2 linked regions of the Pelodiscus sinensis genome follow. The protein of the gene in region 1 purifies or fractionates together with the protein of each later gene. This does not show direct contact. Links are inferred from orthologs where the notes say so. Each region holds a gene or a part of one and is shown in the gene's direction. Other genes may lie near its edges.

Region 1 (3,746 bases):
AGCTTTTCTGGAAAATCAGCCATTTCCGGAAAAACTTGCCAGCTGTCTACACTGGCCGCTTGAATTTCCGCAAAAGCACTGACTTCCTACTGTAAGAAATCAGTGCTTTTTGCGGAAATACTATGCTGCTCCCGTTCGGGCAAATGTTTTGCGCAAAAGTGCCAGTGTAGACAGCTGAGATTTGTTTTCCGCAAAAAAACCCAATCGCGAAAATGGTGATCGGGGCTTTTTTGCGGAAAAGCACATCAAGATTGGCCATGGATGCTTTTCTGCAAAAAGTGCTTTTGCAGAAAAGCTTCCGTTGCCAATCTAGACGCTCTTTTCCAAAAATGCTTTTAACGGAAAACTTTTCCGTTAAAAGCATTTCTGGAAAATCATGCCAGTCTAGACGTAGCCCAAGTGTTTACAGATGATTTCCTTAATTACTTGCTCCATTATCTTCCCTGGCACAGAAGTTAAACTAACTGGTCTATAGTTTCCTGGGTTGTTCTTATTTCCCTTTTTATAGATGGGCACAATATTTGCCCTTTTCCAGTCCTCTGGAATCTCTCCTGTCTCCCATGATTTTCCAAAGATGACAACAGGAGGCTCAGATACCTCCTCTATCAGCTCCTTGAGTATTCTAGGATGCATTTCATCAGGCCCTGGTGACTTGCAGGCATCTAACTTTTCTAGGTGATTTTTAACTTGTTCTTTTTTTATTTTACCTTCTAAAACTACCCCCTTCCCACTAGCATTCATTATGTTAGGCATTCCTACAGACTTCTCGGTGAAGTCCTGAGGCTATTACCTGGAGACAGGGGCCATCATTGCTGTGGGGGTGAGGCACACCTATTGGGTCTTAACCCCTTGTAACAACTGAATGTTTGTGTCAGGGTATATTTGAAACCTCGAGCACAGTTTTGTATTTTCTCTGCAGGTGCTATTAATCCCATGCCTATGGATGGTGGAAGCGTGTGACAGTCAACATGTTATTTAAATAAGAATAAATGTAAAAACAATTGCTTCTCCATGTGGGATATCTGTCAATTTGACCTGTCCTCCCAGGGCTCAAATACAGTATAGCCCTTATATCTGACCCAGTGTGGCGCTTCCCTTCACATGTATCACAGTCAGCTACAGAAGCGGGTTGTGCCCTTGAAAGCTCATGATTCCATCTACATTTGTGCTAGTCTCTGAGGTGCTGCAGGACTGGTCCTTGGTTTTTTCCATTACAGACCAACAGGGAGCGGTGCTGGGAGGATGCTCAATGGCGAGAGGCCGGAAATCGGCTGTATCCGGGTCATCACCGCCGGCCCCGCTCACGCACAAGGGAGCTGAGGCGAAACACGTTGACCGCCCCCTCCCGCGCGAAATCTACCCGCCTGGTTTCTGACCCTCCCCCGGGGACCCAGCTCGCCTCAATCTGCGGGCGCTGCGCGAGCCCCGGCGAATGCGACTCCCTCTCCGCTCTGCCCGCCCCTCGCTGCGCGCACGCGCGTACGTGCAATGGCCGTTGGCCAAGCCGCGGTCCCGCCCTCTCGAGCCGCGCGGGGAAGGCGCCGGGAGACACGTGAGAGGGCCCCGCCTTTCCTGCCGGAGGGAGGAGCCTGCTCGGCGGCTGTTCATGGCGGGGCGGAAGATGGCGGACCTGGAGGAGCAGCTTTCGGATGAGGAGAAGGTACCGCGGGCCGGGGCAGCTGGAGCCCCCGGCGGGCTTAGCGACCGGGATGGGGCCTCGCTGCCTCAGGCGGCGGCGTTTGTATTTTTAGCTTCTTCCTTTCCCGGCGCTGTCAGTCAGAGTCTGCCGGCAGCGGGGCCGGCCCAGGGGCAGCTCCCGACGCGCCTTGTACGGTCCGAGGGCTGAAAATAGGCCCCAGGCGCCGGGCTGGGGGCAGGATCCGGTGTCCGATGCGTGAGGCCGCCCGGCCGGCCCAAAGAGCTCGGCCTCAGGCGCTGCCACTTTCCTTCCTCCTCCCCCCGCCTTTTCCGGGGCTCGCCCGGTCCTCGCCCTGGGGCGGCTGCTGCCTCTTGATCGGGGGTGCGGAGAGAGCGAGCCGGGTGGCGTCTCGGAGACGGGCCCTTCCCCTCGCCCGCTCGGGCCGCTCCCTTGTCTCCAGACCTCCTCGGAGGCATAGCTCGTAAGGGCCGAGTTCAATGTCTTCCTCCCGGCCCCCATTGCAAAGAGCCTGGGGGCGGCGTCTGTAGGAGCTCCTCTTACTTCCGGGGATACAGTGAAGGGAGAGTTCTTGCAGGTTGGAGGAGTGAGCCTCTGTGTGAATCACCTCCCCCCACCCCATTGATAGGCGAGCGTGGGAGGGGACTTCAGATCCCATCCTTAGAGGTGAATTGTAAGGGCAGAGCAAATACATTTCCAGGAGACTCAGTGTTTTGGATCAGCGAGATGTTTATAATTTTTCCCTTGGCTATGTGAAATCTTTCTTTGCTCACTTGGCCTCTGTGGTTTGAAAATAGCTTCCTAAAATGATGATGCATAAGGGAAGGGCATCTTGTAAAACCCGAGTGTTAAAGCTACTCTTTTCAGTCTGTCCTCCTTCTCTTGGACCAAGGCACATTGCAGTTGCAGATGGAAAAGGAGGCTTCAGAATCAGGATGTGGAGATATGCCAACATCATGGTGGTGTATAGCTCTCATGTCCTTATGTAACTCCTATTGCTCATCTCTAATAAATACAGTTTTAAGGCTGATGAAGCTGTAAAGGCAACTCAAAAGTGTGGGCGATTTTAAGGAATTGAGAGAGATCTTACATTTCCTTGAAATTAAAGAGAAGACAGAAAATGCCTTCTGTAATGTTAATTGTAATGTGGGAGCCTTCCTACATATCAGGCCTGCTAGCAGTGGATTTTAGAAGGAGATGGGTAAATGAAGTCACTGAGAGCAGTGAAAGGTATAGTATAGGGACGTTAAATATTGGTTAATTGAATAGTCAAGTAACCCCATGAATTCTTATCGGTTAGTTGACTATTCTATAGTGTCTGGGGGTGGGGCTGGTAGCCAATGCACTCTGGCCTCACTCCTGAACAACCAAGCTCCCCTTGTGGACTGGCTGCTTGTTGCCCAGTGTTGTTGACTCTGGTAAAGAGGCGAAACTGAGCTTGACTGTCTGCCCATGTGGCTCCTAGTACACTTCAAATGTAGAGCCATAGCGGGGGTAGGTCCAGGACCCAGTGGGAGCCAGGACTGAGCCAGGCTGCCTGCCTGTGCAGCTCCTAATATAATTTAAATGCAGAGCTGCAGCAGGGTAAGTCTACTAAAAATGTACTGGCTGGGGAGGGGGTAGGGTGGTGAAGGAAATGTATATAGTCAATACCATTAACCTATAAGTTTTTGCATATCAGTTAATAGATTATGCTATTACATTCCTCATATAGTAATTTAGCACCAGAGCATAGAGTGGTTCATAGCTCCTAAGGGCAGAGACATTTACGGCTGTAGTTTTTCCCTTTAATTTATTGAGTACATTGTGTGTGTGGTGTTAAAAGCAGCAGAAATAGTAAAATTAGCAACCGTAAAGGCTAACAGATACAAATTTGTAGTTGACTAGTCCCATCCAAGCCTTGTATGGAAAAGTTACTTTAAAAATAGGGAAATAAATTGGATAGGATAAACTTGGAAACAACATTTACTTATCTGGCTGAGAAGTACTTATGGCTACTTGTCACTGCATTGCCATATCTTCACTCTGCTACAGTAAATAAGTTTCTGCCCCCCCTCCCCTCCCCAAATCAATTGACTCTCCCTCCACC
Region 2 (3,746 bases), on another chromosome or scaffold:
AGGTCTTTAAAGATATACATCACCCCAGTTTCTTGAATGTCTCATCCAGAGAATGGTACCAATATTGCAATACCTTCTCTACTGCACTGCAGCAGCAGATACAGATATAAATCTAAATTCCAGTGTGGCACTTGAACTCAGAGGCAGGCGCTATCCACTGGTTAGCATGCGCTGACTCTCTGGGAGGGATGAGTGGTTATCTGGCTTTCTTACATTCAGCAATCCTTGCGACTCCCACCTTTCATAGTAAGATACTGCATTTTGAATATTGAGTGAGACATTCAACAGTGCCAAAGAATGTTAAGCACCCAACTTCCAGTGACTAGAGAGCTGGACCATGAAGTCACACAGGCACGTTTTGAAAGAGCCTTCTATGCCAAGCTTTACACAGGAATGAATTAAGCCTCCCAGCACCTTTGTGAGATATGTATTTATTTACTATCCTCTTTTGACAGATGAGAACAGTGAGTCAGCAGAAGAGCCAGAAATCTCCTGTCTCTCTCTATGCTTAAACCACTAGATTGGGCAGGTCCCTTTTTGTGCCTTAATTCCTCCTTCCTTTCATTTAATATGTAGATACCTTTCCAATGTATCTCTTTACTGTTTTATACCCCGGTAAGCACCAAAGGGACTGTTCCATCCATTTTTTATTTCAGCACATAGCCAGCTACTGATCTTCTGGATAACTAGCTTTTACTGGTGTCTTCAGCAAGAGAAACTGCAGGTAGCAGATTGTTATTGAGGCAAACCTGTTGGGAGAGATTATTTGCAAAGCAGTGAAGTGCTAAAAAACATATTTAACCTAATAGCTGAAGTATGAAATGTCCTTCTATCTGGATTTATAGGTAGTAACTAGTCCAGGAGGCGTTATAAACACGCATACAGGGAGCTCTAGGAAAAAGTGGCTCGCACAGAGCAGTTTGGCTCGGTGACAGCGGGGGGAGGATCATGCGCACAGACCGGGGAAGCGTCAGGAGCGGAGAGAGAGAGAGACAGCAGGCTTTGCAGTTTCTCTATTTCAGCAGGAGGAGGAAGGACCCTGGGAAGATTGTAGGGCGCCGCAGGCGAGAGAGAAGGAGGGATGGGAGAGAGATGGGGTAGCCGCTGGGGGCGGAGGAATGAGGGTGTGTGAGCTCAGGGGAAAGAAGAGGAGGACGTTGGAAAACAAACAGTCATTCGCCTCGGACCAAAGGAAAAGCGAGTGGATGGCTCGGGCTGCAAAACAACTTGGTGCTGCATCAGGCTGAGCCGGGGAGCGCGGCAGGGAAGGAGAAAGCTGCCAGCCTGCCACTAACGGATTTGCCTGCATGTGATTGAACCGAGCCAGCGCCGGAAAGAGACGGAGGAGGGTGGGGGCTGCGCGGAGGGGCGAGGGTGGGGGTCAAAGAGGAAAAGTGTGAGGCTCGTGGCTGGGGAGCGGCAGAAGTGATGAGAAGACAAGCGGCGCGGCTGGGGGAGGCTGCTCGTGCTGCCGCGCTGTGCCCGGAGGCTGGCTGCCGCTGCCATTCCTGTGGGTGGCCAGGATTAAAGAGCCTCAAGTGCCCCACACCCCCTCGGCTGCGGCTGCTTCCTCCTCTGCCTGGACCATGGAGACTTTAAATGGCACCAGCCCCAGTGAGCCCCTCAAGCAGCCGCAGCAGCAGAGCCAGCACCACCCCTACAGCGAGAAGAAGCGACTGAACCGAGCCCCTTCCCCAGCCAGGCCCTTCCTCAAGGATCTCCACGGCCGGGCATCCTCCGCCAAGCCCCCGCCGGTGCCTCCCAAATCCCCCAGCCTCTCGGGGAAGCCGCCGCAGCCGGGCCCCTCGCCCCAATCCGCCGGGCTCCTGGCCACCCAGAGCCGCCTCTCCAGGCGCAGCGGCTCGCAGGGCGCCAAGGCAGCGGCAGCCGCTGGGGCGGGCGGGCGAACGGGCAGCGCCAAAGCCGCCCTGTGGAGCAAGAAGGCGTCCCGGGCCCAGGAGCAGGGGGGCGGCAAGGCCGGGGCCAGGCAGGAGCCGGGCCACCCGCCCGGCAAAGGCAGGAAGGGGAAGAGAAGCGCCCCCTTGCCGCAGGGTGGCTCCCTGGCCCCGGCCGCCGCGCCCGGACTGGGCAGCGGCCATGCGGCTCCGGCCAGGCTCAGCCACACGGACAGCAGCTCCGACCTGTCCGACTGCCCCTCCGAACCGCTCTCCGACGAGCAGCGCCCGGCCCAGGCCGCCAGCAGCGACGCCGAGTCCGGCACCGGCTCCAGCGACCGGGAGCAGCCGCCGCCGTCTGCCCCGGGCCGAGCGGGCACGCCGCTGCCCGGCGCCAGCCAGCCTCCCCCGGAGAGCAGCGCCGCCGCGGCGCGGCCCGCCCCGCCCTGCAGCCCGCAGCCCGCCTCGCCCGCCCCCGGGGCCAGCCCAGGCAGCGCGGCGGGAGACGCGGCGAGCTGGGGGCGAGCCGCGGAGAGCGCGCCCGGCCCGGGGGCCATGCGGCTGGGCAGCCGCGCGCCCGCCCCCTGCCAGCGGGCCGAGGAGGAGGAGCTGCTGCGGGAGATCGAGGAGCTGCGCTCGGAAAATGACTATCTCAAGGTAGAGCCCGCCGGGGGGGAGGAGGGGCAGGGGTGGGATGGGTTGGCGGGAAGGCGCCTCCCCCTCCCCAGTGACTAGCGGTGGAGCAGGTGCACGTGGCTGGGTGGGGCTGGAGCTGGAGGGGGTAGGTGGCAATTGTTGGATGGGCATTTTCCTTCTGCAGGTCGGGGGGGGGGGGTGTGAGGGGTCTGGAAGAATGTTTACAGTGGGAGTGCTGTCCTCCACTGAGCTTAACTGTATATAATGGAAACCAGCAACACCCGCACCCAAGGCCCCGCAGCTGTGGTGGGGTGGATGGGCCAAGGGGAGTGTTCATTGAGCCTATGGAGATCAGTAGCTAAGCGCTTGGCAGTCAACTAGTTGGCAGTGCCGCAAAAACTGGCACTTAAGGATATACAGGGGCCCTGACTGCTCTGATCCTTTGTCTCCAGTACAGTTCTAAGCACTGCGGTAGGCTGGATAAAACTTTTGGAAGATGGGGGTGTGTGGATGGCTTTGTTTTGAGTCTTATAAAATCTAGTCTTCCATAAAAGGCCTGCTGGACAGGGAAATCTGCTGAAAGGAATCCAGTACATTTCTCCCAAGTCAGCCTGCTGCAACAGAAACCATAAGGAGTAGATTCTTTAATTCAGATGCAGTAATTGTGTTAGTCAAAATTCAGAAGCTATTTTTCTGAAATCTAACAGTATTTTTAAAGTCAGCATCTCTTGGAAGAAAATCACCCACCAAATCAAAATTCCGGTTTTACTTGTTATATTCACCAAAGCCTTTAAAATAACATGGAAACACAGAAGGGCTATGTCTACACTGCCAGCTTCTTGCAAGGAACTGTTTTGCGCAAGAGCTTGTCCACACTGCCATGTACTTTTGCGCAAGAAATGTTCTTTTGTGCAAGAGTGTCCATGGCAGTGTGGACGCTCTCTTGTGCAAGAAAGCTCTGATGATCATCTTAGCCAGAGGGGTTTCTTGCGCAAGAAACCCCAGTTGCCCGTCCACATTGCCTTTTGCGCAAGAGCTCTTGCACAAGAGGGCTTATTCCTCGTGGGGAGAGGAAGAACTCTTGCGCAAGAAGCCCTTTGTTCCGACACTTTAATGTAAATTTACTTGCGCAAGAACGCGCGTGCAATGTAGACGCTCTCCAAGTTTTTGTGCAAGAACAGCTGTTCTTGCGCAAGAAGCCTGCAGTGTAGACAT

Evidence for each region.
Region 2: the proteins of CAPZA2 (region 1) and MTCL1 purify together in Homo sapiens (affinity purification with mass spectrometry; 3 studies listed by BioGRID and IntAct, counting the BioPlex papers as one, with this or other methods). This does not show direct contact. The link is inferred for Pelodiscus sinensis from reciprocal best matches to the Homo sapiens genes CAPZA2 and MTCL1.

What each region holds. Positions count from the first base shown.
Region 1 is NC_134711.1:45,679,507-45,683,252, reverse strand, and holds the start of CAPZA2 (F-actin-capping protein subunit alpha-2), read left to right. Parts: upstream 1-1,511; 5' UTR 1,512-1,606; coding exon 1,607-1,660; intron 1,661-3,746. UniProt on the Homo sapiens protein: F-actin-capping proteins bind in a Ca(2+)-independent manner to the fast growing ends of actin filaments (barbed end) thereby blocking the exchange of subunits at these ends.
Region 2 is NC_134712.1:84,715,910-84,719,655, forward strand, and holds the start of MTCL1 (microtubule cross-linking factor 1), read left to right. Parts: upstream 1-962; 5' UTR 963-1,586; coding exon 1,587-2,552; intron 2,553-3,746. UniProt on the Homo sapiens protein: Microtubule-associated factor involved in the late phase of epithelial polarization and microtubule dynamics regulation.